2 linked regions of the Elephas maximus indicus genome follow. The protein of the gene in region 1 binds, or shares a complex with, the protein of each later gene. Links are inferred from orthologs where the notes say so. Each region holds a gene or a part of one and is shown in the gene's direction. Other genes may lie near its edges.

Region 1 (15,480 bases):
GTGAACCCTTGTTGAGGCATGTTAAAAGGTACCAATATTGCTGTACAATTAATTTTTTTTTTTTTTCTGAAGATCATTCAAAAGCAGTTGCAGCAGTACATTGACAGGGAACTACTGGAAATTCAAGCCGGATTCAGAAGAGGACGTGGAACAAGGGATGTCATTGCTGATGTCAGACGGATTTGGCTAAGAGCAGAGAATGCCAGAAAGATGTTTACCTGTGTTTTATTAACTGTGCAGAGGCATGTGACTGCGTGGAAGAACGGGAATTTCTGAACACTGAATTGTACTCATGAGGAACCTGTACATCGACCAAGAGGCAGTTGTTAGATTAAACAAGGGGATACTGTGTGGTTTAAAGTCAAGTAAGTTGTGCATCAGGGTTGTATCCTTTCACCATACTTATTCAATGTGTATGTTGATCAAATAATCCGAGAAGCTGGACTATATGAAGAATATGGCATCAGGATTGGTGGAAGACTCATTAACAACCTGCGATACGCAGATGACCCAACCTTGTTCACTGAAAGCAAAGAGGACTTGAAGCACTGACTGATGAAGATCAAAGACTGCAGCCTTCAGTATGGATTACACCTCAACATAACGAAAACAAAAATCCTCACAACTGGACCAGTAAGCAACATCATGATACACAGAGAAAAGATCAAAGTTGTAAAGGATTTCATTTTACTTGGATCCATAATCAACACCAATGGAGGCAGCAGTCAAGAAATCAAATGACACATTGCATTGGGCAAATATGCTGCAAAAGCATGTGAAAGTTGGACAATGAGTAAGGAAGACTGAAGAAGAATTATGTCTTTAAAGTATGGTATTGGCAAAGAATATTGAATATACCATGGACTGCCAGAAGAATGAACACATCTGTCTTGGAAGAAGTACAGCCAGAATGCTCCTTAGAAGCAAGGATGGCAAGACTTCATCCACATACTTTGGACATGTTCTTAGGAGGGACCAGTCCCTGGAGAAGGACATCATGCTTGGTCAAGGAGAGGGTCAGCAAAAAAGAGGAAGACTCTCAAGGAGGTGGATTGACACAGTGGCTGCAACAGTGGGCTCAAGCATAACAATGATTGTGAGGATGAACCAGGACTGGGCAGTGTTTTTTCTGTTGTACATAGGGTCCCTATGAGTTGGAACCAACTTGATGGAACCTAACAACAATGTATGTTTATTATATGTCAAAAATTTTGAAAGTTTAAAAACGTCTATCAGTGGGTGACCTATATAACCAGGAGTCCAGGCCAACCTGGGAAACCTGATGTTTGTGCTAAGATTCACAATTATTACTACAGAGACTGCAGCAGCAAACTGAGGGTGTGGTGTCTTATCTTGGTTTTCTGGGAGTTCCTGTGGCGTTATCTGTTTCATTGTCCTACATGTGGCTGGAGAAGTGGTATATCCCTTAGTCCTAATTGTGAAGGTCAGTCCAAGACGATAAAATGAGAAAGTGCATTGTAAACTGTGAAGGCGTGTGTCTGCTTTGAGTGGCAGGAGTTCCCTTAACCTCCTTAGGTTATTAGCACGGCCCAGCATCACTGCACTGGTACCTGTCAGGTTAATCTTCCTATTATACAGTTCTTCTGTTTGAAACTTTTTATAGGTCCTGGGTTCCTACAGAACGAGCTCTGGTGGCATGGTGGTTAAGCACTAGGCTGCTAACCAAAAAGGTGGGTAGTTTGAACTCACCAGCTACTCTGTGTGAGAAAGATGTGACAGTCTGCTTTCGTAAGGATTACAGCCTTGGAAACCCTATAGAGCAGTTCTGTTCTGTCCTATAGGGTCACTACGAGTTGAAATCGACTCAACAGCAATGGGTAGAGGTGCCTACAGAATGAAATCTAAACTCCTAAACTTGGCATTCAAGGCCCAGCACAAACTGACCCCAACCAGCTTTTCAACATTATTCCTGCTCTTCTTTGTAGGTCATAGGGCCAAATTCAACTACAGCTTGTTTCAGAAATGCTGCTCCCTTTCCAGCCTCACCTCACACTTTTCCTTCCATTAAAATATTTTTTCCTTTTATCTCTCAATCGCTTCCTGGAATAGCTCTTTGTAAAAACGGCATCGGGGCAGAGTTTGACCTCCTCTGACTTCACAAGGAGGGAGGGGAACCAAGATCAACAGCACAAGGCTGACTCCCATGAGGTGGAGGCCAGACAAGCCTGCTCTCTCGGCTATCTCTACCAATTCTGACACCAAGTGTTCTTTCCACAGCAGTTTCTACTGGGTTTGATAATTCATTGTAACGGCTATGCAAACCATACTCACAACCATGAGGCTTATTAGGGAAGCAACAGTTACAATTCAAGCTCAAGAACACTGGGGATACAGGTGTTCCGTCAGGATAGCCTCACCTCAGCTGTGCTCACAGACATGCCTCTCCCTGGCCCTCAGTCTCTGCCCAAGGGCACTCAGCTTTCTCTCTCCACAGGCCAAGAAGCCCACCACGTTGCCGGGTATCTCCTGGTCTCTCCTTCCTTGGTGGTCGTGGGCCCCCCTTCTGCTCTGGGATTGGCTCTCTTTTAAGGCAAAACTGACCAACCCTGTTGGTAGTCCACAATTACCTTATCACACAATCACCTGAGTGGGAGTTACAAGACCATGGCTAGAAAGGCCACACACAAAAGTCATTAATCACACTGCTGTCTTATGTCTGCATATCTAAAACCTACCTGTTCTTCAGGGACAAGCTCAAAGACCATGAAGCTTTCCTCAGTCCTCCCTCTTTATTCGTACTTCCTTTTAAGATATTTGATGTTGTACTCTGCATTATGTAGTTGTTTATGTATACATTTCCTAAACTCCTTATTAGTAAGTTTCTGAGGTACCCTCTGATTCAAGACTGTAGCTTCACCATGCCCAGCACAGTGTCTGGAACTTACTAGATACACAATATATTTTAGTTTAATAAATGAATAAATAAAAGGGGGAAAAAAAGAAATGGGGTGGGAAATAAAATACAAATGTATTTAAACTTAAAGAGGAAAACAGTTAATGTGGCGTTAATAAATGGGGAGAAACAAATCTTCAGTGATTTTTAAAAATAAAACAAACAAATACAATAGATATCTCAGAGGAACTAAAAATAGGAGCAGAATTTTTTCCACTGGGGTCTGACATTGTTTTTCTATGCATGGGGATTATTGGAATAGAATTTTAGCTTCAGAGGATGTGGAAAAAAGACTTAGGGAATGAACTCAGCTGGTATGGGAAACCTGGTATTTTATGACTAAAGTAGTAATCATAAGCTAGATTGCTGCTACCAGATCTATGCAGATTTGAAACCTATGGAAGAACCCAGAATTGGACATTCAGGACCTATTCGTTCTCCTGCAGGTCCTTCTGAGTTACCATCCTCTTGTCGGAGTCTTCCTTGTCTCCCTTCTTTTGATCATCCCCCCCAAATGTTTTTTAGACTTTTGAATAAGCAGTATTCACATGGTTCAACATTTAAAAGGTATGGAAGTGAAAATTTTCCCTACAGTCATGACTTGTGTTGAGTGTTATTTATAGTAACAGTGATCAGAACCTTTCTTACACCTTTGTTCAAAGCTGAGACAGAGGCTGGGACAGAGAGGAAGACTGAGACAGAATGAACATTCTAGAAAATTCCACAGCTCCAGGGCCTGGCAAACAGTAGGCTTTTAGCTGCAGAAATGTTCTTCTCTGACTAGTGGAGAAGGATCAAGGAAGAAGGGGAGAGATGGAGTGGGTGACAGCCCAGTGCTCAGGAGATCTCTTAGGGCCTCGCCATTGGGGGTTCAGGAAAAGCCAGTCCCACGGAGAAGGGTGCCAGGATGTGAGATGCTCTCCAGCTCCCAAGGCCAGGCCTCAGTGGGATACTGCACCTTCAGGGAAAAGGAGGAAACTAGGTGTCTTTGTAGAGACAGAAGAGGGAAGAAGTGACCCATCATGGGCTAGCAAAGAAGATCAGCAAGGCACTGGGGAAGGGTGGCCCACCAGGTGGCTCCCCTTTCGCTACTTCCCATTTGGGCACCTGAGGGCCCAAGACTTGGAATTCCCTGGAAGGGTGGCACCCAAGGAGTGTGGACCCTTGTCAAGGGAGGAAGCTTTCCTCACAACTATGTCAAAAAGCCATGTTTTCCTTTCTTTCCCAGTAACTATGTCCAGAAAATATCTAGAAAAGGATGGAAATGGGAAAGCCCAAAATAAAAAGCCCAAAAAGTTCTCTAGAGGAGGTAAATGGCATCACTGGCTTTGTTCTGTTTTATTTATTTGCTAACTGTTGTGACAAATGCTTTTTTTAGCTAAAAGAGTTCTATATATTTAAACAAGTAGGCAGTGTTGCTTCTGAGAAATCCCTCTCAGGGCAAACAGATTTGACCCTTCGCAAAGTTTGGGTAACTCCTGCATTTGCTTAGTTCCTGTGTTTCCTCAGAAGACCTTGTGCTTCGGTGTGATTAAAATTTCACTCAACTCGCTTACTTTGGACACATCATCAGGAAAGACCAACCATTAGAAAAGGACATCATGTTTGGTAAAGTAGAGGGTCAACAGAAATGAGGGAAACCCTCTATGAGATGGATTGACACAACAGCCAAAACAATGGACTCAAACATACTAACAATTACGAAGATGGCGTAGGACGAGGTAATGTTTCATTCTATTATACATGAGATAGATATGAGTTGGAGTTGACTCCATGGCATCTAATAACTACACTGAAACAATTAATTTTGAATACTTTTCCACAACTAGGTAATTTTCTGGAAGAAAAAAAAACTTCTCTATAAACTTAGAGCTTTAGGTTGAAAAACAAAATGTGTCAGCTATTTGGTGTTCTACCTACGATCTTTAAAAGTCTTCTAGAGACTTTTAGCTCTAGACGTAGTACCTTCCCAAGTCCCTGAAACCGCAGATTTAGGAGCTTATCCTTTGCAGATGAGAGAATTTAACAGTCACTCTTGCCCTTCCGAGTTTCTAGTAAAGGACTCTGGCAAGAGAGGGTTAGGTAGGGAAGGCATTTGCTAGGAGGTTTGGGCTTTATCTGAATGACTTGCTCAAGGTGAGACAAAGTCAGGGCCTAACTAGGATTAGACATCTGCAGCAACCATTCAGCAATCGCCATTCAAGGAGGCAAAATATGATCAGAATCCAGGGTTTTTGTTGACCCCTCCTCCCCCCGGGATTTAAAAAAAGATCTTTAAAAGCATGTGTGGACCTTGTTTTGTGTTCATACAGACAGGTTGGGAAGCCCCCAGAAGTCATCAGAGCCTGCACCAGTGCCCTGCTTCTAAATTGCTGAATGCCACACTTCCCTGACTGTTCTTTCTCTGAAATGCATAGGAAATGTCTGTAGGTTTGGCAGGCTCTTCCCTTCCCCCTCTTCTCCACCCTCCTGTTCTGAAAGTGTCTGTTCAGCACTTGAGAGCCTTGATCATCCTCTCAGCTCCCTTAAACACACTTGTTCTCATTTTTGAAGAAGGTAAAGTGGTTTCATTTCCAATCAGCTGACTTTAACCTTTGTCAGATATCCTTAAAAATGCCATTTTTTCCCCCAGACTTCCATAATGCCACTCTTACAAACAGGTGCCAAGTCAGTGAATCTGGTTTTCTTCATCTGAACCTCTTTTTCAAATGTAGTTGTATGAAAATTAGGGGTGGTGGAAGCAAGGCTAGAAACGGAAGAGACATTACTTGAAATAATTGGAACAGAAATTCTTTCATTTCTTTAACATCTACCAAATATTGTTTTGAATGCCTCCATTGTTCTAGGCCCTGGTGATATAGCAGTCAACAAAACAAGACAACATCTTTGTTTTCAGGGAGTTTATGTTCTAGTGGAAGGAGATGGACAATAAACCAAATTAATAATTAGAAAGCTCCCTTTGCTTTGAAGATAAAAAAGCAGACATGGAGTATACGGAGTATGGCTTGCAAGGTTAAAATAAGATGGTTTTAGAGTAAAGCCCTGAAGGAGGTGAACTAGCAGGCTATGTTGCCATCTGGGAGAAGAGACTTCAGGCATAGAAAACCAGCAGGGAGTGCAAAGGCAGCCCCGGAGTGACTGAGAAACAGCTGGAAGGGCATGTTTGGAGCAGCAGGTGATGAGGTGAGAGAAGTAAGAGGAGGGAGCAGACCCTTTAGGGCCTTGTGGGATACTGTGGGTACTCTAGCTTTTACTGTAATGAGGTGGGAAGCCACCGTAGAGTTATGTGATATAACAAGACCAGCCTGGTTGCTGGATTGAGGAGAGAATGGGACAGGTGTAGAAGAGGTGCCACTGCAGTCATCCCTACCAGAAATCAATCAGGAACATTTGTTTACAAGAAGGGGAGATAATGTTCTTACAGAATATTAAAAAAAAAAAAAAAAGGCGGGGGGAGGGGGAAGCTATTTTTTGGATGTTTACATTGGGAGAAAAAGATCAATTTGGGAGTTACTCTGCTGCTGTCTCCTTCAGAAGCAGTGGGGCTGGGAGTCACGGGGAGTTAGGTCTCTGTTTTGTTTTTCCCAGAGGGAACTATGAACCTAGCAGGGTTTGGTCAGTGTGATTGAGAAGGCGCCTTTATGGGTTCGTTTGGGATGTCTGTCCCTTCTCATTTCCCAGACTTGCCAGGGTGCTTGTTAAAAATAGATTTCTGGCCCTTTCCCCTTTAGTATGGGATGGGATCCAGGAAATATGTACTTTTATCAGGAATATGAGGTGATTCTTAAGACTAGAAAGTTTGGGAAACTGCCCCACTCTAACTTTCTAACCCTTTCGGGGTTTGCATCAGACCTGGAAAGCACTGCAGGCTGCCCGTACGGCCGGCAGGTGGTGCCACTTGATCGCGAGCCGTGGAGCTCGCGCGTCCAGGTAGGGGGAAGAAAGGCGCGAGAAGAGGCGGTCCGTGGCGGTGCAGGGGCCTCCGGGCCGCCGCTTATCCCGTGAGGAGCTGCGTGCACAGGTGGTGGAAGGGGGCGCGCGGGGTCGCGGCCGGTGCCCTGCTTTCATTTGGGATTTACGTGCGCTTTAAGCTGTCCCAACTCAAATCTGATTCTCGGGCACCGGTGGCAGAAAGGCGCATCCGCTCTGCACCGGCATGATGTCCTGGGTGGCCAGCAACCGGGTGCAGCGAAAACCGGGGTCCTCGCACCGCAGGGCATCAGTCCAACCAGGCCAACAGCAGGCGCGGGGATCTACTACTGAGACCCCTCAGCGAGCGCCAGCCCCGTTGACGGCTTCTTTTCATTGGCAACTGGACCAGAGGCCCCGCCCCCTTTCTACAGCTCTAATTTCTGACTGGCTATCGGGCTCCGGCTGGCCACACCTCCTCCCCTCGCACATACACAAGAGTCACGCGCTTTTCAGCTGGAAACTTGGCGTGCTGAGGGGGACGGTGGCAACCCATTTCCCCGCCCGCCTACCTTGCCATTGGTCCGCCGTGCCGCGCACGGCCACGCCCCCACTCCAGCCCCCTGGCTGGGAGGGCGGGCACCCGCTCTTGATTGGCTCGGCGACCTGCCTTTCGCGGGAGCGGCTGGCCCTCCTACCCTCCCCTCTACTCCTCCCACGAGCCTAGGGGTTCCTCAGCTGGCCGAGGCCGGGTCAGTGTCAGTCAGGGAGGCGGACCGCTGAGCACTGGGCGCAGACGCTCTATTGCAGTCTCTCCCAGGGCCGGGTGTCTGCGCTCGCGCCGCCGGGTGGGAAGCATGAAGCCACAGCTGGAGCAGCTACCCCATGATTGGCTGTGGTGCTTGTGAACCCGAAGTAAACATGGCGGGCGGGCAGGCAGCCGCCGCACTGCCCACTTGGAAGATGGCGGCGCGCCGCAGCCTCAGCGCCCGCGGCCGGGGGGTCCTGCAGGCAGCGGCGGGGCGGCTGCTGCCGCTGCTGCTGCTGAGCTGCTGCTGCGGCGGGGGTGGCTGCGCCGCGGCGAGCGAGAACGAGGAGACGGTGATCATCGGGCTGAGGCTGGAGGACACGAACGACGTGTCGTTCATGGAAGGGGGGGCGCTGCGGGTGAGCGAGCGGACCCGGGTCAAGCTGCGTGTGTACGGGCAGAACATCAACAACGAGACGTGGTCCCGCATCGCCTTCACCGAGCACGAGCGGCGGCGCCACAGCCCCGGCGAGCGCGGGCTGGGTGGCCCCGCGCCGCCAGAGCCGGACAGCGGCCCCCAGCGCTGCGGCATCCGCACCTCAGACATCATCATCTTGCCCCACATCATCCTCAACCGCCGCACCTCGGGCATTATCGAGATCGAGATCAAACCGCTGCGCAAAATGGAGAAGAGCAAGTCCTATTACCTGTGCACGTCGCTCTCCACGCCGGCCCTGGGCGCCGGCGGCCCGGGGTCAGCCGGGGGCACCGTCGGGGGCAAGGGCGGCTCCGGGGTGGCCGGGCTCCCACCACCCCCGTGGGCTGAGACCACGTGGATTTACCACGACGGCGAGGACACGAAGATGATCGTGGGCGAGGAGAAGAAGTTTCTGCTGCCCTTCTGGCTGCAGGTGATCTTCATCTCGCTTTTGCTGTGCCTGTCTGGCATGTTCAGCGGCCTCAACCTGGGGCTCATGGCACTGGACCCGATGGAGCTGCGCATCGTGCAGAACTGCGGTACCGAGAAGGAGAAGAATTACGCTAAGCGCATCGAGCCCGTGCGCAGGCAGGGCAACTACCTGCTGTGCTCGCTGCTGCTGGGCAACGTGCTGGTCAACACCACGCTTACCATCCTGCTCGACGACATCGCGGGCTCCGGCCTCGTGGCGGTGGTGGTCTCCACCATCGGCATCGTCATCTTCGGGGAGATAGTGCCCCAGGCCATCTGCTCCCGGCACGGCCTGGCCGTAGGTGCCAACACCATCTTCCTCACCAAATTTTTCATGATGATGACCTTTCCTGCTTCTTACCCGGTCAGCAAGCTGCTGGACTGCGTCCTGGGTCAGGAGATAGGCACCGTCTATAACCGGGAAAAACTGCTGGAGATGCTCCGGGTTACCGATCCTTACAACGACCTCGTCAAAGAGGAGCTGAACATCATCCAAGGGGCGCTGGAGCTCCGCACCAAGACGGTGGAGGACGTGATGACTCCGCTCCGGGACTGCTTCATGATCACGGGCGAGGCCATCCTGGACTTCAACACGATGTCGGAGATCATGGAGAGCGGCTACACTCGCATTCCAGTATTTGAGGGGGAGCGCTCCAACATCGTGGACCTCCTCTTTGTCAAAGACTTGGCCTTTGTGGACCCAGATGACTGTACTCCCCTGAAAACCATCACCAAATTTTATAACCACCCCTTGCACTTCGTTTTCAACGACACCAAGTTGGACGCTATGCTGGAAGAATTTAAGAAAGGTGGGAAATTTTGATATCTTTCATTGGCTCGCTCTTTCTTTCTCCATCTTTCTCCCTACTTAAGTCCTCTACCCTTAGACCAACCCCCCAAGGCGAGTTGACCGGAATTTCTCCTTCTCTCTCTCAATTGTAAAGTTGAAAGGGTGGCGTGGATTTGGGGACGGATTGAACTAGTAAACGCTCCTGGATTCTTTAAAAGCATAAGACTGCCATCAAAAAGCAGGCAGTGTAATTGCTCTGCAGGATACATCTTTTTTTCCCCTGGGTGTCTCAGGTTTTGAGAGGTCTGCCGAGTTTATTTGCCTGCGTTCTGAGTGGGTAGGTGAAAGTAGGGGCCGGCTAATGCCATGCGATGCCATTTGGTTGACCTGCTCTAATCGCAGGCTTTTGGAACATTTAAATAGCTTTTTTAAACCTAGTACACTCATTTTCCTCCTCCTTAAGCCTCGACGTCGATGTTTCAAAGATTGGAAGTGCATTTCGTATTGCTTCGGTTCCTGGTTGTCTGGCGACCTGTGGGGAAGATTTGACGTCTGCCTTTGGGGGGTAGGGGTAGGGTAAGGTGGGTACCACCAAAACAGTTCACTCATTTGGGTGTGACTTGCCTTAGCTGGAAAAGAGATTTTTGAAAATTGAGGTTAGTTATTAATATATAATTTGGAAAGACTAGGGGTAAGTTAATCTTTTAGGAAGTTAGCATGTCTTGTTTAACTTGCTGCATTGTTTGTTTAAATTTACCTAAAACATTTCCCAAACCAAGAGTGATTTTGGCAGAAGCTTGAGCCTTTAACAATGGGATGAATCCCTCAATTAATTGTGGTTTATTTATATCTTGAGTCATTTGGGTCTAGAAGTGTTCTTTTTAACCTTGATCACCTGGTAAACTGAAGTATGTATCCAAGTCAACTGTCTCTGTTCACGGTATTTAACAGGGAAGGGAAGTGCAGAGTCTGATTTGCTTGCCTTTCTTACATTGTACTATTTTTTGTTTGTTTGTTTTACCATGTAATGATCAGGTGAATAACAACTCATGGTGTTATTACCGAAATTCTGCCATTAAAAAGTCCCCAGTAAATAGCTAGTGTTGTTACTTGAAAACCAAGGGATGCTGAAGCTTTAAAAATTGTTATGATGCTAGTGTATGTCAGCGTATCGAAGTGTGTATGTAACCGTTAATGACCTAAGCTTTCCTTCTTCAAATAGATTTTTGATCACCAACAATGGCCTCCCCACTGAAAAAGGCCATGTGTACCTGGTGACAGCTCAGTGAATGTAATGATCTGAACATACGCATAGTGTGTGGTTGCCCTAATTCCATTTTTCTGGCTGGATGATGCCCTCTATTCAACAGGGTCACACTGCAGTAATTTTCAGATAAAGGAATAGAGAAGAATGTGTTTCCGAGGTTGGTGATTTGCATCTGGATTCTTAGGCAGGAAAAAGGAAATGTCCATTTTCTCTAGGTAACAAAGCTTCTTTTGGGAGTGTCATTATTCTTTGATTGCTAAGCTGTTAATTAGAACATCTAGCCAGTCTCCCTTTCTTCATTCATTTTGCAGTAATATGTGTAATATAGAAAGCTAGCTTGAAATGCTTGAAAATTTCTCTAAAATACTTAATTTTCTTTCAATCGCTAAGTTCCAAATGTTGATAAAACAGTTCATTGTCTGATTTTTTATTATTCAGAATTTTTGCATGTGTAATGATGGATTGATAACACTAGTTTGCACTCCTGCTGAAGTCTTTTCTTCGCTTCTGTTTTTCTTTTCAGAATTCACTTATTCACCTTACTACTCATTAATCATGTCTATTCAAAAATACCAAAATTTGCATTATTTTGAAATTTGTTTTTAGTTGTCCTGGAACAATTTTCCTATGGTTGATTTATTTTCATGAGGCCCCTCTTTACCCCCCAAATTAGCTATCTTGTTAACAGTATTTTCTTTGAAATCTAACCTTTAAATAATTGAATTGCTCTTATTTTTCTAAGAACTCTAGACAAGTAATGCTCTGTAAGATTTTATTTTTGTCCTTAAAAAAAAAAAAAGCAGAAGGATATATTTGGCTTCAAAGATAGTACAAGGTAAAGGCACATTCAAGCTAGGGGCATATTCAGAGTAATGGCAAAGACTGTTGGGTACAAATGGGAAATTTAAGACATTATCTTAAAAGGATGGAGTTCATTACTTAAACTATAGGCATAATTGATATATCACTTTCTCTTTCTTGGATTTTTATTTGATGGATTTGATCGCTTTAACCTTACTAACAGCTATATTAGTTCTTTTTCATGTGTGAGTTAGAGTATTTCACCTAATTTTTTTTTTGCTTCTTTATTTTCTAATTCATTTATGAAATAATGTGGATGTTCAACCTTCTATTGTTTTTCTCCATTGAATAACAGCCTGTGTAGTGGTTTGAAGGCTTTTTCTTCTTTTTCTTCCCTCTTTCTGCTGACTTTTCCATTTCCAAAAAACAAAAATAAATTCTACGATACCCCCTGCAACTCCTCCAACTAATAAGATCACCAGTTCAGATCTCATTGAAAATTAACTTTCCTAGTTCAGAATGTGGAAACCGTGGTGGCATAGCAGTTAAGTGCCACAGCTGCTAACCAAGAGGTCAGCAGTTCAAATCCACCAGGCGCTCCTTGGAAACTCTTTGGGGGCAGTCTACTGTGTCCCACAGGATCGCTATGAGTCAGAATCGACTTAATGGCAACAGGTTTGGTTTTTTTTTTGTTGTTTAATTCAGAATGCGTTGAATCCTTTTCTATATATATGCCATACAGTCAATTCTGACTCATGGTGACCCCATGTGTTGCAGAGCAGAACTGTACTTCATAGGGTTTTCAAGGCTGTTGTTACCTTTTGGAAGCAGGTGGCCAGGCCTTTCTTCTGAGTTGCCTCTGGGTAGGTTCCAACTGCCAACCTTTGGGTTAGTAGTCAAGCACTTAACGATTTGTGCCACCCAGGGCCTCTGTTCGTGTTGTTGTTCGGTGCTGTTGAGTTGATTTCAACTCATAGTGGCCCAATGTATGACACAGTAAAACTGCCCACAGGGTTTTCTAGGCTGTAATCTTTATGGGAGCAGATTGCCAGGTCTTTTCTCCTGTGGAGCCACTTGGTGGGTTCGAACCACCAATCTTTCAGTTAGCAGATGAGTGCTCAACCATTGTGCCACCAGGGCTCTTCTTTTTTTATGTAACTGTACATAATTAATCCGAGTTATTCTTTGCTGAGGAGGGAGGAGTAGAAATATTTTGCAGTATGGAAAAAAATGAAAAGCTGTCTTTATAAAAGTATATGTGCATATCTTCTTTCAATGATTAGAGCTTTTTGCCTACCAGAAGACTTTTAACTAACCTTTAGGTTGGAAGACAGTAATTACGCTAGTTTCACAATTAGCATGTTGCTATTATTAATATTGTTATTTACTTGTGCAGGTACTGGCTGAATGCTTTACATGAATTACTTTGTTTAAATCTTACAATGGCTGAATGATGTATTATCTCCATTTTGAAAATGAGGGAATTGAGGCTTAGGTTAAATGATTTGTTCAAGGACATGTAGTAAGTTCTGGATTTGGGGCTTTAACTGAAGTATGTCTGACACCAGAGCTTGAACTCTCAACCTCTATAGTGTACTGGCTCCCTTGTTCCTCATGATACGTTTCTCTTTTACTGAGTGTGAATTTCGGACTTTTGTGAAAAACACTGCAAGAGAAAGATATGGCAGTCTGCTGGCGTAAAGATTTCAGCCTGGGAAATCCTATAGCGTCACTATGAGTTGGAATCAACTGGATGGCAATGAGTCTGGTTTTTGGTTTTGGTGAAAATATTACCTCTGGACAACAGATACAAAACATATTCAAGCATATATGGCCTTAAACCCAGTGCATCTGTGAAGTTATACATAACAGTTCCCATCCCATTGCTGTCGAGTTGATTCCGACTCACAGCGACCCTATGGAACAGAGTAGAACTGCTCCATAGGGTTTCCAAGGAGCAGCTGGTGGACTTGAACTGCCAACCTTTTGGTTAACAGCTGAGCTCTTAATCTCTCTGCCACCAGGGCTCCATGCATAACAGTTGGTGTCCCCATTTTTGCCATTAAAACAAATCAATTTTTTAGCCCCTATGATCCAAAATCAAAGGAATTTTATTTCCAGTTTTTTTCCATGTCAAAGCATCAAGATTCATTTTGAAAATGTTTTATAGTAACATACTGTACTGGCATGCTACTTGAATGGACTACTCTACAACCATTTTTCATATAGCTAAAATATCTTACTCTTGGTTTCTTAATCTCTGTGTGTTGGAAGTGTGACTCAAACTCAGGTTTGTGTTTTGATCTTGATTTTATTTACATTTTTTGTAGACACCTGTATAATAATTGGTTTCTAATGAGCTTCCTTTACAACTCTGCCCCTGTGTACTCCATGCAGTCTCTTTAAATTTTTTTTAAAATAATTTTTATTGTGCTTTAAGTGAAAGTTTACAAATCAAGTCAGTCTCTCAGATAAAAACTTATATACACCTTGCTACATACTCCCAATTACTCTCCCTCTAATGAGACAGCTTGCTCTCTCTCTCCACTCTCTCTTTTCCTGTCCATTTCGCCGGCTTCTAACTCCCTCCACCCTCTCACCTCCCCTCCAGGTAGGAGATGCCAACATAGTCTCAAGTATCCACCTGATCCAAGAAGCTCACTCCTCACCAGCATCCCTCCCCAACCCATTGTCCAGTCCAATCCATGTCTGAAGAGTTGGCTTTGGGAATGGTTCCTGTCCTGGGGCAACAGAAGGTCTGGGGGCCATGACCACTGGGGTCCTTCCAGGCTCAGTCAGACCATTAAGTCTGGTCTTTTTATGAGAATTTGGGGTATGCATCCCACTGTTCTCCTGCTCCCTCAGGGGTTCTCTGTTGTGTTCCCTGTCAGGGCAGTCATCGGTTGTAGCCGGGCACCATCTAGTTCTTCTGGTCTCAGGATGATGTAGTCGCTGGTTCATGTGGCCCTTTCTGTCTCTTGGGCTTGTAATTACCTTGTGTCCTTGGTGTTCTTCATTCTCCTTTGATCCAGGTGGGTTGAGACCAATTGATGCATCTTAGATGGCTGCTTGCTAGCGTTTAAGACCCCAGATGCTACTCTTCAAAGTGGGATGCAGAATGTTTTCTTAATAGATTTTATTATGCCAGTTGACTTAGATGTCCCCTGAAACCATGGTCCCCAAACCCCTGCCCCTGCTACACTGGCCTTCGAAGCATTCAGTTTATTTTTTTTTAGCTTTGTAGTTACTTATAAATCTAAAGATAATAAGCTTAGTAAATCCTACTAAAGGATTCTGAGAATCTTAGGAAAACTGTCTAAAACAAAACAGTGTAGGGAAAGGAAAAGCTAAATTAAAGGCTACTACTTTTAAAAAAAAAAAAAAATTTTTTTTTTTTTTTTTACTTTTGAGTGAAGGATCCCTTGTGGTGCAGTGTTTAAGCACCTGGCTGCTAACCGAAAGATTGGGGGCTCGAACTCACCAGGTGCTCCTCGGAATAAAGATGTGGCAGTCTGCTTCTGTAGATACTCCAGAAACCCTACGGAGGCAGCTCTGCTCTGTCCTACAGGGGTGCTGTGAGTTGGAATCAACCCGATAGCAACAGGTTTGGCTTTTGGTTTACTTTTGTGTGTAGAAAGCACTCTAGAGGTTCTTCACTTATCTGAATACCTTCCTGACAAAGGATTGTGGACTCTTAGCCATCCAGTTGTACACACTAGGGTTGAGTCTGAAGAATTAGTAACCAGTTTTTTTTTTCTTTTAGGTTTACAACAGTTGCATTCCAGTATTGCAGAGCATGCTGGTCTACAGCTGCTAGGGACTTAGCTAGGCTATTTTCTAGCGCTTTTTTTAAGCTAGGAACAGGTGTTATTCTTTAAGAAAGTACTTAAAAGAAGAATGTAATGTACAGTTTTCACTTGAAACATTTGGCATACATTTCTGTCTCCTTATAACTCAGCATGTCTTTCCATATTAACGTCCTGAGAGTTTAAGTTAAAATTTTTTTTTCCTCACCAAATGAAGTGTTCCATTTGCCTAGAATCTAGGAACATTGTTGTTGTTGTTTTTTGTTTTTAATTGTTTAAAGGCATGAATGGTGTCA
Region 2 (14,886 bases), on another chromosome or scaffold:
ACAAAGTAAAGTATTATAATGACATGTGCAAAGTCCTGGAGTTAGAATACCAAAAGGGAAGAACACGCCCGGCATTTTTCAAGCCGAAAAAACTGAAGAAAAAATTCAAGCCTCGAGTTGCAATAGTGAAGGATTCTATGGGCAAAAAACTGAATGATGCAGGAAGCAACAAAAGAAGATGGAAGGAACACAGAATCACTGTACCAAAAAAATTGGTCAACATTGAATCATTTCAGGAGGTAGCATATGATCAAGAACTGATGATACTGAAGGAAGAAGTCCAAGCTGGGCTGAACACATTGGTGGAAAAACCAGGCTCCAGGAATTGATGGAATACCAATTGAGATCTTTCAACAAACAGATGCAACTCTGGAAGTGCTCACTCATTTATGCCAAGAAATTTGGAAGGTAGCTACCTGGCCAACCAACTTGAAGAGATTCATATTTATGCCCATTCCATAGAAAGGTGATCCAACAGAATGTGGAAGTTATCAAACAATATCATTAATATCACACACAAATGAAATTTTGCTGAAGATCATTCAAAAGAGATTGCAGCAGTATATCAACAGGGAACTGCCAGAAATTCAAGCCGGGTTCTGAAGAGGACGGTGAATGAAGGATATCATTGCCTGATATCAGATGGATCTTGGCTGAAAGCCAAGCATAACAATGATTTGTGAGGATGGCACAGGACTGGGCAGTGTTTTGTTCTTTTGTACATAGGGTCGCTGTGAGTTGGAACCGACTGGACAGCACCTCACAACAACAACACAAGGTAATCTTGTAGATTGGGCCCTGTCTCATTAACATGACTGCCTCTAATCCTGCCTCATTAACATTATAGAGGTAGGATTTACAACACAGAAAAATCACATCAGATGACAAAATGGTGGACAATCACACAATACTGGGAATCATAGCCTAGCCAAGTTGACACACACATTTTTGGGGGACACAATTCAATCTATAGTAGCACTCTTCCTGTCGCCTGACCTATGGATCTTAGGACAATAGCCTGCATACGTGTCCAGCCTGCCGCCTGACCTATGGATTTTGGATTTGCCAGTCCCCACAATCTTGTGAGCCAATCCCTTGAAGTAAATCTCTCTTTCTAAATACACACACACACACACACACACACACACACACACACACGTCACTGGTTCTCTAGAGAACCCTGCGTAAGACATGGTGCAAGGGCTATATGTAAAGCACTAAGCCAGGCTTTCAAGGGAGGTTCAGAAACACAGGTGTGGCAGACATGACAATGCATCATTCAAGAAAGGACTCCCTGCCTAATTTTGAGGAGTGTGCTTAGCTGTCAGTTCTTTAGGCTCTACTTCAGCCTTGGAGCCAAAGTTGGGCTTTTCTCTTCTTGGGATTGCCCCAACCAATGACTAAGCAAGGTGGTAGTATAACAGTCTAGCCATTTCTGTCCCATATTGACTGCTCTAATGGGCAATCTTTGGAGCTACCTGTAAGGCCAATAAAGACTTTGTCAGTTCTGTAAAATGTTCTTCTGGTGCCCCCTGACCAATCCTGGGTCTCTTCTTTCACAGGTTTTACTTCTTAATGAATCTTTTGCTTCCTGGAGAACTAAACCTGCAGGAACATGAACACAAGTAGTTCCTACCAAGGTCAACTGGGAAGAAAAGGAATGCAGAAAAAAGGATGAAATAGTGCAAACAGCATATATCATATGCCAGGAATGTTATGGATTATCAATTGTGAGAATGTAAAAGTTATGAGTGACCTCTTCAGGTCATTAGGGAAGGCAAGTCAGTTTGGTGAGCTCTACTTTCTAGAAAAAAGGAAATGGTTAGATCTTTATTAAATTATTCAGGTCCTTGGGGCATTACTATATTAAATGTCATTCCCTTGGACTTCATTTCCTAATGTGTTCTTTGTTAGTTCAGAGGAACTAAGGGTATGTTATAAGCTATCTCATTAAAACTGACTTTGAATCCAGCATGAACTGGTTTTTAAGATTTGATTATTAAAAATCAAAATTGGCCTTGCAATATGACACTGTATGTGATACATCTCAGTCTCCAAAGCACCTTTATATTCCAAATGGTAATTTTTTCATTTTTTGAAATAAATCACCATCAAAGAAATATGTATTTTATAATCCATTGAAGATACATAGCTGATTCTTCTCGTTTACTTTGCTGATTTTTTGTAAACTGGTTATCAAATAGGGCTTAGAATCTTGGTTAAATACTTCTAAAAAATTTGGCATGGTATTCCCTGTCATGCAGGATAAAGCAATTCAGATGTTTCATCCCAGAGAAGGTTCAAAACCACAATAAAGCACTGTACAATCAAAATATTTTTGGAGATTTTATCTTTCTATGTTTAGCTTGGAATAGAAAAAAAAGGTTATTAATGGAGTTCAAGAATTTGTGGAGAGTGAAGAACTAATCAGACTATAATACGCAGGTAAATAAAATTCTTTATAAGGAAATCGGAGTCCTGGTTGCTCAGTGGTTAAGAGCTTGGCTGCTAACCAAAAGGTTGACAGTTTGAATCCACCAGCTGCTCCTTGGAAACCCTATGGGGCAGTTCTGTTCCGTCCTATAGGGTCACTATGAGTCGGAATTGACTTGATGACAATGAGTTTGTGTGTGTGTATATAGTTTTTTTTTTGTTTGTTTGTTTATAAGAAATCCACAGTTAAATGTTGAAGGAAGGAAATAATATTCATATTTAAACCAGTTGGTCTAGAAAAAAATTGTTATGAAGTAGTAACTTTAGCTATGGGCAAAGAAGTAAAGGAAATGAGAGGAGAGGGTCTCAAAAAAAGTTAAAACCTTGGCTGTGATTGTCTTGTGTTATCTAGTGCTGCTATAACAAAAACACCACAAATGAGTGGTTTTAGCATACAGAAATTCATTTTCTTACAGTTTAGGAGGCTAGAAGTCTGAATTCAGGGTGCCAGCCCTAGGTAAAGGCTTTCTCTCTCTGTCAGCTCTAGAGGAAAGTCCTTGTCACTTTAGCTCCTGCTTCCTGGTTCCTTGGACACCTCCATGTGTCTTGGAATCTATCTTAAGCCCATCTCTCCTCTGCTCACTTGTTTAGTCTTTCTTATATCTCAGAAGAGACTGACTCAAGGTACACCCTACACTAATCTTGCCTCATTAATACGAGGGTAAGTAAAAAGTATTGTTACTAGCATTCCAGTTCATACATGCATGGGTTTATTCCAAACAAAACATGTTTAAACATGTCTCCGTGATCAGTGGATGGTTGCAGACAAGTTTTCTCAGTAATATACTTGTCTTAGTCTCGTCAGGGTGACTTCAGAAAAAAAAAAAAAGGATACTTTTTGTGTCATGGGAAAAAACGATTTTGAGGTCAAGGCTATTATCAAATTTTTAACAAAACTCAGGTGGACATCTCTTCAAATCATTGAAGCTTTGCAACAAGTTTATGGGTATGCTGGCCCACATTAAAGTTTTTAGATGGATCAAGCATTTTAAGGAAGGTTGGGAAGACCTCAAAGATGAGTCAAGAGAGGGAAGACTGCTCAGAAGTTTATGGCGACTGTTTTTTGGGATTACAAAGGACACAGGACAATCGTAGAGACTTACTATGAAGAAGTTTTAAGAACACTGAAAACTGCATTGGTGAGAAAAAGGCCAGGAAGTTTGCACTGAGGGCTTTTTTTCCATCAGGACAATGCACCGCCTCATTCTTCAAGGGTAGCAAGGACTGTCCTATGAGAATTTCATTGGGAAACCTTACCCTGTCCACCCTACAGCCCTGATCTTGCTCCTTCAGCCTTCTTTTTTGTTTTCAAAACTCAAAGAACATTTAAAAGGAACACGATTTGAGTCCTTTGAGGATGCCAAAACTGCTGTTTTGACATGGTAAATAGTCACATGCAGAATTCTTCCGGGAAGGGTTAGAGAGATGGAAACTTCACCTTCAGAAGTGTATAGACCTAGATGGAGGATATGCTGAGAAACAATAGCTTCACATTTTGATATTTTTGTTCAATAAAGTTTTCTATGATTTTGTAGTAATGCTTTTTGGCTTACCCTCGTATAACAAAGACAACTCATTCTCAAATGGGATTATAACCACAGTCATATTAACAACACATATTTTGGAGGGACATAATTCAATCCATAACAGTGCTCAAAAGAAGTGGAGACCAAAAGTACAATAGAGGGAGATGACACACTTTGGGACGATAATCCTACTCACCTGTCAGAAGAGAAGTAACTGGATTGTATAAAGAGGGTTACAAAGGGTCCTGGGACTGCATTAAAAATTTTTAAGAAATCTAATTCTTTCTAAGATCGAGAGTTTATCCCCACTTTTCTGATTCTTTAGGTATTCATAGTGTGCTTGCCACTTTGGACTTTCAGGGAGGTATGTGCTTTATCTGCATATCATGATAAGATCAGTGTGGTAGCTGAACAACGGCTCCCAAATACGTAGATGGCCCAATCCCTAGGGCATCAAGTGTTGTATGGCGAGGTGACTCTGCAGATGTGATTAAGCTGTGCATCTTGGCATGGGGAAAGAGATGATTTTGGCTTTTCTCTACGGGCCTAAATGTAACAAGTGTCCTTATAAAAGAGAGGCAAAGAAAGACTGGGGGCAGTGATGGTTCAGTGGTACAATTCTTACCTTCCGTGTGGGAGACTCACCTGGCTAATGGACCTCATGTGCAACCACTGCTTTTCTGTCAGTAGAGGCTTAATAATGCAATTGCCCCATGAATTTACACACATTTTCTTTGGCACCAGGCAAGGGCAGGTCGAGGTAAATGAGATCAAGCCTTATTCAAGATGACAGTCCATTACTTGGCATTTAGTAGGTTGAATGAATGTACTCTAACCACCGTACACTCTCTTTTTTTTTAAAGTCTACACTAGAGTGATTACCAGGCTGCTGTAGCTACCAACAGATCAGCTAAGACAGCTGCTTCACACAGCGTGCAGTGTATCATCTGTTCATGCCAACACAATCAAGTTAGCCTCTTTCCTCTGCACAAGGGTAAAAACATTAACAGCCCAGAAGATTAACACCTAACTGGAAAATGTGCTCCATATGCAGTTTTGAAACTACAGATTTTTTACAAGGACACTTCCAAAATGCAATCTATAATTCTTTTAATAGTTACATCAAACACAAAAATTTCCTTGATGTCAGTCATAATGAACATAAAAATGGTATAGAATAAGGGAAAAACAGTGGAGTAGACTCTGGAATTTTCCTTGCACAAACTATTTCATTTCCCTGTTTTGGGCCCATTTATTAATTTCTGAGGCAGAATGAACAATGTGCAGCTTAATGTCATGGATTGAATTATGTCCCCCCAAAAATGTGTGTGTATCAAGTTGGTTAGGGCATGATTTCCAGTATTGTATGGTTGTCCTCCATTTTGTGATTGTAATTTTATTTTGAGAGGATCAGGGTGGGATTGTAACACCACCCTTACTCAAGTCACCTCCCTGATCCAAGGTAAAGGGAGCTTCCCTGGGGTGTGCCTGCACCACCTTTTATTTCTCAAGAGATAAAAGGAGAGGGAAGCAAGCAGAGTTGAGGACATCATACCACCAAGAAAGAAGCACTGGGAGCAGAGTACATTTTTTAGACCCAGGGTTCCTGAGCAGAAAAGCTCCCAGTCCAGGGGAAGATGGATGAGAAAGACCTTCCTCCAGAGCTGACAAAGAAAGCCTTCCCAGGAGCCGTCACCCAGAGTTTGGACTTGTAACCTACCAAAATAAATTTCTCTTTGTTAAAGCCATCCACTTGCGCTATTTCTGTTATGGCAGCACTAGGTGACTAAGACACCTAATGACATTCTGTTTAGAAGGACTGTCTTTCTTTAAGGTCAGTTTTTGAAGCAAAGGCAGAAGCCAGCTTCCCCTGAATGGTTATCTTCCCCTGCATAAACTGACAGGCCTCTCAAAATTCTGACTTGGCAGTAGTCAAGACATCATTCATCACTAAGGCAACAGACCAAAAGGTGTCTCTTTGCTAGCTTGCCCCCTTTATCTTACTAACAATATGTTTTATTCATGGAAAGGAGAAGGAAAAACAATTTCCTTTTCTGTTTGAATTATTTTTTGCTATCAAGTATGAGAGAACAACTTTTGCAATTACAGTAGCTTCAACCAACTGTACTGAAGGCTGTGTTGTTATTAGTTGCAGACGGACTCTGACTCGTGGCGACCCCATGTGTGCAGAGTAGAACTGCTCCGTAGGGTTTTCAAGGCTTTTGCAAGCAGCTCGCCAGGCCTTTCTCCAGAGACACCTCTGGGTAGGTTTGAACTGTCAACCTGTCATACAGCAGTCCAGCTCTTAACCATTTGTACCATCCTGAAGTCTGTGGGTTTATGGAAATCCATGATTTCCAGAATCCAGGTCACAACCTCTTCTAAACCTGCACGTGTTTAACAACAGAATGCCAAGAAAAATCAAAATTTGGTCTCACGGCTTAATGAAAATTAAATCTAGTTAGTGCCTGCATAGGGGGAAAGATCTTTTAGAATTTCTTCAGAAGTATTTTATTTATACACACATCCTTATCTGTAAATTGAATCAACAAAGTAATCTTGATAGGCATAAAGCCACTCTACACCAAGCTCTGTGCTGTGTATATTCAGTCTTCTAGTTCCTTCAAAAATACCCTGGGGGTAGGAATTCTCATTTTTCAGTTGAGGAAAGAGGTTCAGAGAGATTAGATAACATACTCAAAAGTCAGGTGGCTCATCAACCTTGTGCTCTTTCTAAGGGGCTGCACTCTCCCTGGTTTATCTGCATGGTTAGGCAAATTCCACTGCTACTTAAAAGTAGAATGGCTTTGGCAGCCCCAGACAAACCTATTCTCTGGAAATTCATTACCTGGGGATACAAAAAGGGAAGGTGTCAGGAGCCCTGGTAGCACAGTGGTTAAAGTGATCCACCGCTAAGCTAAAGGTCGTTGGTTGGAAACCACCAAGCGCTATGCAGGAGAAAGATATAGCAATCTGCTTCCATAGAGATTTACAGCCTTAGAAGCTCAATGGGGTTACTATGAATTGGAATCCACTGGATGGCTGTGGGTAAAACAACATTTAAACAATCAGGCGATCACTTCAGAAAGGTTTTAGTTGATGTTTCATTCTTGAAACGTTATTGTATGGAAGCTCTAATTATAATACAGATGAGAGCAATCCCCTTCTCCTCCATTCTCCTTAACGCCTTAGGGTCACTGTAATCACCTCACTCTGTTATGTTGCATGTTGTCTGGTATAGTGTAGTTGTTCATATACTGAAGCCCCAGTGTTCTTATTCAGCTTCTTACTTGATTCAGCTCAAAGCATTAGTGAAATCCCAATGCCAGTTTCCCAGTTATTAAAGAAACGCACAAGTCTCAAGTGCATCTCTCCATACATATTTTTTTTACCTTTTAAAATGACATGGGGTCACAAGTGTTACTTTACTCGGATCTTTTCGGAGAGCTTCTTTTTCTATTGCTCCTTTTATTCAGAGGCGTTGTATTTGTGCTCAGTGTAACTGGACTTAAAGCTTGCCAAAAACTGATGAGTTCTTCTTCCCAAGTGTTTGAGAATTACAACTGACAACAGTGAATCCCTAAACTTTTTTTCTTTCACATGGTGGACAGAGTTCTCAGGCAGGCGGCAGTCTGGAGTTCAGATAAGAGGGCGCCTCCTGTGTGTGTCGCGTGTGCACGCCCAGGGACATCAGGCAGCAGTTGTCCGCCTTAGCAGTTTCACAAGACGAAGGTGAGGCGGAGTCTTCCGGGTCCCGAATCCCGTACAGTTTTGCCTGTTCACGAAGTACGCTCTTCCACACTTCTCGTCCCGGCAGTACCCGTTTCGCGACGGCAGAGCCTTTAAGAAAGCGCTGCCAAAAGAGACATTAAGTGTCTGTGGCTACCTCGCCTCCCACATTGCAACGCTTGCTTCCTACTGGGGAGGGCTGGAAGGGACTCCAAGATTCCCTGGTACAGGAGCACAGAGCTCTGCTACGCTTTATCTAACCAGGAGGCTACAGAAGCACACACAACTCCGGCGGTGGCAGCACCTGCCGATTTTCCGCTCTTCCCGACTGGCTCTTCGGCTTGCGCCGCCCTACGCCTGCCCTGCACCCTCCGAACCGAGACAAGCAGCGTCGCCTCTCCCGCGCTTCTCTCCAGCCCCCCGCACTGGCCTGCCTTTTATAGGCCCCGCAGCCAATCAGCACTAGCCTTTCCTTCTTCTCGCGCGACCGGCCAATCGCCGCGCCCCTTGTGTAATCTTCGTCTTCTCGGCTGCTCTCGGCTATTTTCGCTGTTGCTGGCTTTTCAGGGGCTGCTTGCTCGCAGCCAGAGACGCTCCTTTTTTTTTCCGGGTTCGGAGCCGTTCCGGATGCTTTAGACTGCCGGATGTCTGATCTCCGAATAACTGAGGCGTTTCTGTACATGGATTATCTGGTAGGTGCGGGACAGGGGTGGCATGTCGCCTCTCAGCTTCCGACGTGCCCCATGTCCCTCCGCCTGGAGGAGCAGCCTCTTTGCTTTTCTTTCTTTGGGATAGGATGCCTTTGGGGTTCTTTCTCCTGCAGCCAGCTGAAAAGCTGTGCCCGGGACTCGGAGAGGCGGCCGTCGGGGCCGCGGGGCAGCAGCATAGAGGGGATGGTGGGACTGACAGGTAAAGGTGCGGCCGGGGCCAGCCGGGCTGCGGGGCGAGGGTCGCACTGGGGCTGCCGGGGAGATGGGGCCGCGGCGGCGGGGCGTCTGCCCGCGGTCGGTGTCTTTGCTTCACTCTGCTCTCCCCGTAAGGGACTTCTTTCCGGGGAAGCAGGAGTTTTCCGCTTTCCCTCCAGCAGAACTCCAGGTACTATTAAAGAGCTATAACCAGAATGGCTCACTAAGTGCCTGGCAGCCTTGGTCATTTGGTTGTTATTAGATCCCTAAAGCTATGACCTCGGTCGCGGCGGGGTTTTAAAAGAACATTACCATAAAGTAGACGGGAGTAAACTCCATCGCAACCCGGCCAGAACAGGACTGGGCAGGCATTGTCCCACCGTTCGGCTCAGATCGTGGGTGCATGCTGCTTTTACCCCGTGCATGGATTGGGTCCCTAGTGTGCTTTTAGGCCAGGCTTGTACTGAGAAGTTTAGGTGGGAAAAGTGTCAGCGCAGAGCTGAGACTGAACATTATTTTAAAAAATGATTTGTGCGTTTGTGCAATTATGCAAGTACCATGTATTGTTCCAGAAATTATATTTCCCCAGAGCTGCATGTCTGTGGTCAAGGGAATCGGCATTTACATTGGCTGTGTCAAATCCTATGCAATTACTATGTTTACCGTGTGAGCCAGAACCGCTATTGCAAGGCTGAGTTGAAGCAGAGTTAAAAACACTGGCCCTCCTGTCATCTTGTTGGACACATGCACGGGTTTTCTACTGCAGGCTGGCCTGGCAGAGATTTGCCAGTGCCTTCTAGGAATTACACTTTAGGCTGTACTAAGAAAGACTGTGGATGCTTTCCTGATAAAGGAATGTTGGACAATGACTGGCTTTGTAGTGTTGTTAAGTGTACTTGGGCTTATTTTAGTTTACATGAAGAATATGTTTCCCCTAAAGCTGTATGGCTCTCCTGAGGGAGGATCATCACTGCAGTTAAAACTTGACCTTGTAGGTGGAGCGCTCACCAGAGTCAAAAATTCCGAGTTCAAATTCTGTTTTGTTGTTCTTTTGGTGATGGCACTAACTTCGTCTGTTTGTGATAGAGGGACGGTATCCACCCACTACCATTAAGCGTATTATCTGATAAAAAGCATGCTGTAAAATGTAAAGTGCCCTGTAGGTTAAGAGAGTTGCCTAATGTGACTGAAAGATTATTTTCTAAGTTAAATAACTGGTTAATTTGTAGCTTGTCTTGTAAAATACAGCGCTATGCCCAAATTAAAGCCAAAATTATTGAGGATAATTGCCGAGTAGGAAAGAGCAACATTACCCCTACTATTCAAAGCTAATTTTGGATACTTAGTTCCTAAAGAGAAAATCAAGTGGTTCTGATCATTTTATTAATTTCTTTTTGCACTAAGTGTGTTTTAAATGTACAAATTGCATCAAAGCTATCTTTGAGGTGCCAAACCTACCAAAACACTTAGTGAAAACAATATTGAAACACTGGTTAATTATTCAGATTAACCTCTAGATAAACCAAAAACCGCCAAACCCAGTGCCATTGAGTCGATTCCGACTCATAGCGACCCTATGGGACAGAGTAGAACTGCCCCATAGAGTTTCCAAGGAGGGCCTGGTGGATTTGAACTGCCGACCCTTTGGTTAGCAGCCGTAGCACTTAAACACTACGCCACCAGGGTTTAGATGAATGTTTGTGGGGCTCCAGTTTACCCAAAAAGTAGGTTAATTTCTTTGCCAGCTTACTATCAGTTTGGTGTCAAAATAATGGATCCCAAACTTGACATTCTGTCGTGTTTTACCTGTCACGCCCCCCACACTAGGTTAGCTTGTTTTAAAAAATCATTATTTTGTTACCTTAACTTTGCTTTTTTAAAAAAATGACAAGTGTGGTGTAACATTCCCATAAAAAATAACAAAGCAATGTTGTTGTTAGGTGCCATGGACTCATTTCCAGCTCATAGTGACCCCTCATACAACTGATCCTGTGGTCCTGCACCATCCTCACAGTCGTTGTGCTTGAGCCCGTTGTTGCAGCTACTGTGTCAGTCCATCTCATTGAGGGTCTTCCTTTCTTTCACTGATGCTCTACTTTACCAAGCATGATGTCCTTCTCCAGGGACAGATCCTTCCTGACAACGTGTCCAAAGTATGTGAGACGCAGTCTTGCCATCCTTGCTTCTAAAGAGCATCCTTGCTTCTTCCAAGACAGATCAGTGCCTCCTAAAAACATGTCCAAAGTACATGAGAGGTTCTTACTATCCAGACTTCTAAGGAGTGTTCTGGTTATACTTCTTCCAAGACAGATTTGTTCATTCTTCTATAGGCCACAGTATATCTTTGCCAATACCCTAATTCAAATGTGTCAGTTCTTCTTCAACAAAGCATTATTTGGATGATTATTGGAGGTGAGGAAATAAATCATAAAGGAAACAGTTCAGTGTTTGAGTGTGCAAAGTATCTCATATCAAAAGGTTTAAGAAGATCCTTAAGCATTAAGCCCAGTTTTAACTGAGATTGGACTGAAAAAATAAAAAACACACACAAACAAAAACACTCCTCCTGAGGTGATCTTTTTGTATTTACGTTTTGCCTACTAACTTTCAGAGAAAATGATATGCCACAGACCATTGCTTTCTTCTTTCAGATTGACTTGTTTCCTCATGCAGAACCTTTATGATGGTTATGAAAAACCCATTTCTGAAAAATAAAAACTTATTTGACAGTATCTGTGATCTTATTTTAGAGTTAAACTAATTCCCAGGTTCTTTTACTTGTTGTTATTAGGTGCCATCAAGTCAGTCACTCATAGTGACCCTGTGTACAACAGAACTAAATACTGCCTAGACCTGCGCTGTCCTCACAGTCATTGTTATGCTTGAGCCCATTGTTCCAGCCACCGTGTCAGTCCATGCCATTGAGGGTTTTCTTCTTGTTCACTGACCCTTCTACCTTACCAAGCATGATGTCCTTCTCCGGGAACTGGTCCCTTCTGATAACATGTCCAAAGTATGTGAGATGAAGTCTCGCCATCTTTGTTTACAAGGAGGGCTCTGGCTGTACTTCTTTCACTTACTACTTAGAAAAAAGGCTTCTTTTCATTACAAGTTTGATTCTTCAGATTTTGCTGAGTTTGTGGACTAGAGTAAGTGCCCTGTTTATACACTTGACAGGAATAATGGTGTGTGTCTTCTTTTTCTTAAATCCGTGTTTGACTTTCTTGCTGCTGTTGGAAGTTGAAGGAGGGAGCTTTGTGTATGCATTGTCCATTGTTCTTTGGACTGGATATCATCACTTAACCTTTTCATGTGGAGGAGAGCAGAAGGGAAGAAAAGTGAGAGAAAGATGGAGGTGCTATTTTTAACAGCTTTTAATAGGATTGAGATCCTAAAACAGATGAAGAATCTATTTCAGAGGTTGCTATTGATTTCTTAACTTAAAAGAAGTACTCTTCTTTAGAGATGATAGATAAAGTGAGGGACAGTCCCTTAATGTTTAAGACAGGGTTTTTAACTGTTTGGCTACTAACCAACTGGTTGGTGGTTCAGATCTGTCCAGAGACACCTAGGAAGAAAGGCCTGGTGATCTACTTTCAAGGTCACAGCTGTGGAAACCCTGTGGGGCACAGTTTTGCTCTGGAACACATGGGATCGCCATGAGTAGGAATCGACTCTATGGTAACTTTTGTTTTAATGCATTTAGTTCAGGGAAATATGTGGTAACTGGCTAATCCTAAATAATTACATGTATCACCCACCGCCTGCCTAGCATGGTACTGGCGCGTGGTAGGACATTTATTTGTTGAACTGAATGGATATGACATGAAGGGACAATTCTACTTTTTCTCACCAGCTTCTAAACTGAGCCAAGATAAAATCTATTTGGATTAGGCGTTTGGTTTTGTGGAATGCAGAAGGTATTCTTTACTCTTAACTTTGAGATTATCAGATGTGATTTGTTTAGCCTGGGTGGCAATTTAAAAATCAAGATCTCTTTTTGCCAGTTGATAAAGGAATTTTCCTAGGAGAACACACACCGGCCCTTCCTTTTTTTTCTCCATAATGAGGTTTAAAGGCCGTGTTCATACCTGTCAAGCCTGAAAGGAAAGGTTTTGTTGCTGTTCTAACAGGCAGTACCAGCATCTTGCTCCATTTCTCTTCTGACAGGTAGAATTAGTAAGATGATGTGCAGAGCTTTTTGAATAAGGTAGGAGAACATAGTCCAGTTATAATGAAAGAGAAAAACATGTTTAACCAGGTTTTCCTGGGAGGTTGGACAAGATCAGCAACGAGGTTCCTTTCAGTTCATAAGTTTCTTTTTATTCTTGACTTACGGTTGGTTTGCTCTGGATTTCACCTTTTTCCCCCTTCTGCCATCAAAAAAACAGCAATAAGATTTGGTATATTTCCGTATAATGCCTATGATGATTAAATGAGAAAGTGATTTATAGACAACACATTGCTTTTGAAATATAAAATGTTCATGTATTGTGATTTTATTGCTGGTATTTGATGTTATTCTTATGCCTCCCATGGAATGACTACTGCCACTCAGTGGTAAGTATTAGGCTACCTTTTAAACTATTCTCTCAAAATATGGAAAGATTGGGGTTTGGTCATCAACAAGCAGGAAATCATAAGACTCTCATGAGGATTGTTTAGTACCTATAAAAATAAGTCTTCATTCTGTTATTTTCATTAATCCACTGAACAAATATTTATTGAACCCCTGCTTTGTGCATGACCCTAAAAGTCATGGGTGATGAACCCCTACCTATGACGTCCTTCTTGGCCACAAGGCTGGCTGGAGCATGGCTGTACGGGGACCTGTGGCAGGGCAGGTCAGGCAGGGCACCTAAGGGAGGATGGCAGCTTGTGATGCACTTCTTTGCTTTCTGGTATTTTTCTCTCATATTTTATATGTCTTATTTTTTTTTATTATGAACTAAAATGCAACGTTAGACTTGAGAATGTGACAAGTAAAAATGCTTGTTTAATCTTGAATTTATTGTTGTTGTTAGGTGCCATTGAGTTGGTTCTGACTCATAGTGACCCTGTATACAACAGAGCAGACCACTGCACTATCCTGGGCCAGCCTTACGTTCGTTGCTGTTCTTGAGCCCATCACTGCAACCACTGTGTCAGCCCATCTCCTTGAGGGTGGTCCTTTCTTTTGCTGACCCCCTACTTTACCAAGCATGATGTCCTTCTGCAGGGACTGGTCCCTCCTGGTAACATGTCCAAGCATCCTTGCTTCTAAGGAGCATTCGGGCTGTACTTCTTCCAGGATAGATTTTTTTGTTCTTTTGGAAGTCCATGGTATATTCAGATGCATCAATTCTTCTTCAGTCTTCCTTATTCATTTTCCAGCTTTTGCATGCATATGAGATGATTGAAAACACCATGGCTTGGGTCTGGTGCACCTTAGTCCTCAAAGCGACATCTTTGCTTATTAATAATTTAAAGAGGTCTTTTGCAGCAGATTTGCCCAATGCAAAAAAAAAAAAAAAGGTCTGAGTTCTAGATGTTTTTTCCTTGATGGACTGGTTAGGAATCCCTGCGTGATGCAAATGGTTAATGCGCTGGGCTACCAAGCAAAAGGTTGGAGGTTTGAGTTCACCCAGAGGTGCCTTGGAATAAAAGCCTGGTGATCCACTTCTGAAGAATCTGCTATTGAAAACCCTGTGGCGCACACACCTTTAACTACGCTGATACACATGGGGTCACCATGAGTCAAGAGTTGGCTCCATGGCAACTGATACTAGCCTGGTGAACTTGGCCTAGTTTGTTGGTCATAGGCTGTACCTGTCATAATAAATATGTCTGCCTCAGTGGGGGAAGATCATGAGAAGGTGGATGAATCAACACAAATCCAACACCATTCACAGGCTATAAACTAACTAACCAACCAAGAACAGAAACTCATGATGTACCTCAAATTGTTCTGTTGTTGTTAGTTGCCCCCAAGTGGGCTCTGATTCATGGTGACCTTGTGTAGAACAGAGTGAAATGTTGCCCGATCCTGTGCTGTCCTCATGATTGTTGGTACATTTAAGTACATGGTAGCTGTTGTGTCAATGCATCATCTCACTGAGGGTGTCCCTTGTTTTTGTAAATGAGCCCATTCAAAAAAGAGGAGGAAACATACACCTGTGATTTCATATGGTCTTCAGTTGTCTTAAAATTGAGCTGTTTTTAACCCTGAATGAATATGAATATGCCAAGCTGTA

What was found.
Region 2: the proteins of CNNM2 (region 1) and ARL15 are in contact, whole or in part, in a crystal structure (PDB 8F6D), measured with the Homo sapiens proteins. The link is inferred for Elephas maximus indicus from reciprocal best matches to the Homo sapiens genes CNNM2 and ARL15. Residues at the interface, in NP_060119.3 of Homo sapiens: Asn490, Val492, Pro521, Leu522, His523, Phe524, Val525, Phe526, Thr529, Glu537, Lys542, Ser543, Gln549; in NP_061960.1 of Homo sapiens: Tyr92, Ser94, Arg95, Gln98, Gln128, His129, Pro130, Gln131, Cys133.

Annotation. Positions count from the first base shown.
Region 1 is NC_064834.1:54,434,196-54,449,675, forward strand, and holds the start of CNNM2 (metal transporter CNNM2), read left to right. Parts: upstream 1-7,519; 5' UTR 7,520-7,708; coding exon 7,709-9,329; intron 9,330-15,480.
Region 2 is NC_064820.1:57,613,560-57,628,445, reverse strand, and holds the start of ARL15 (ADP-ribosylation factor-like protein 15), read left to right. Parts: upstream 1-8,281; 5' UTR 8,282-8,392; coding exon 8,393-8,440; intron 8,441-14,886.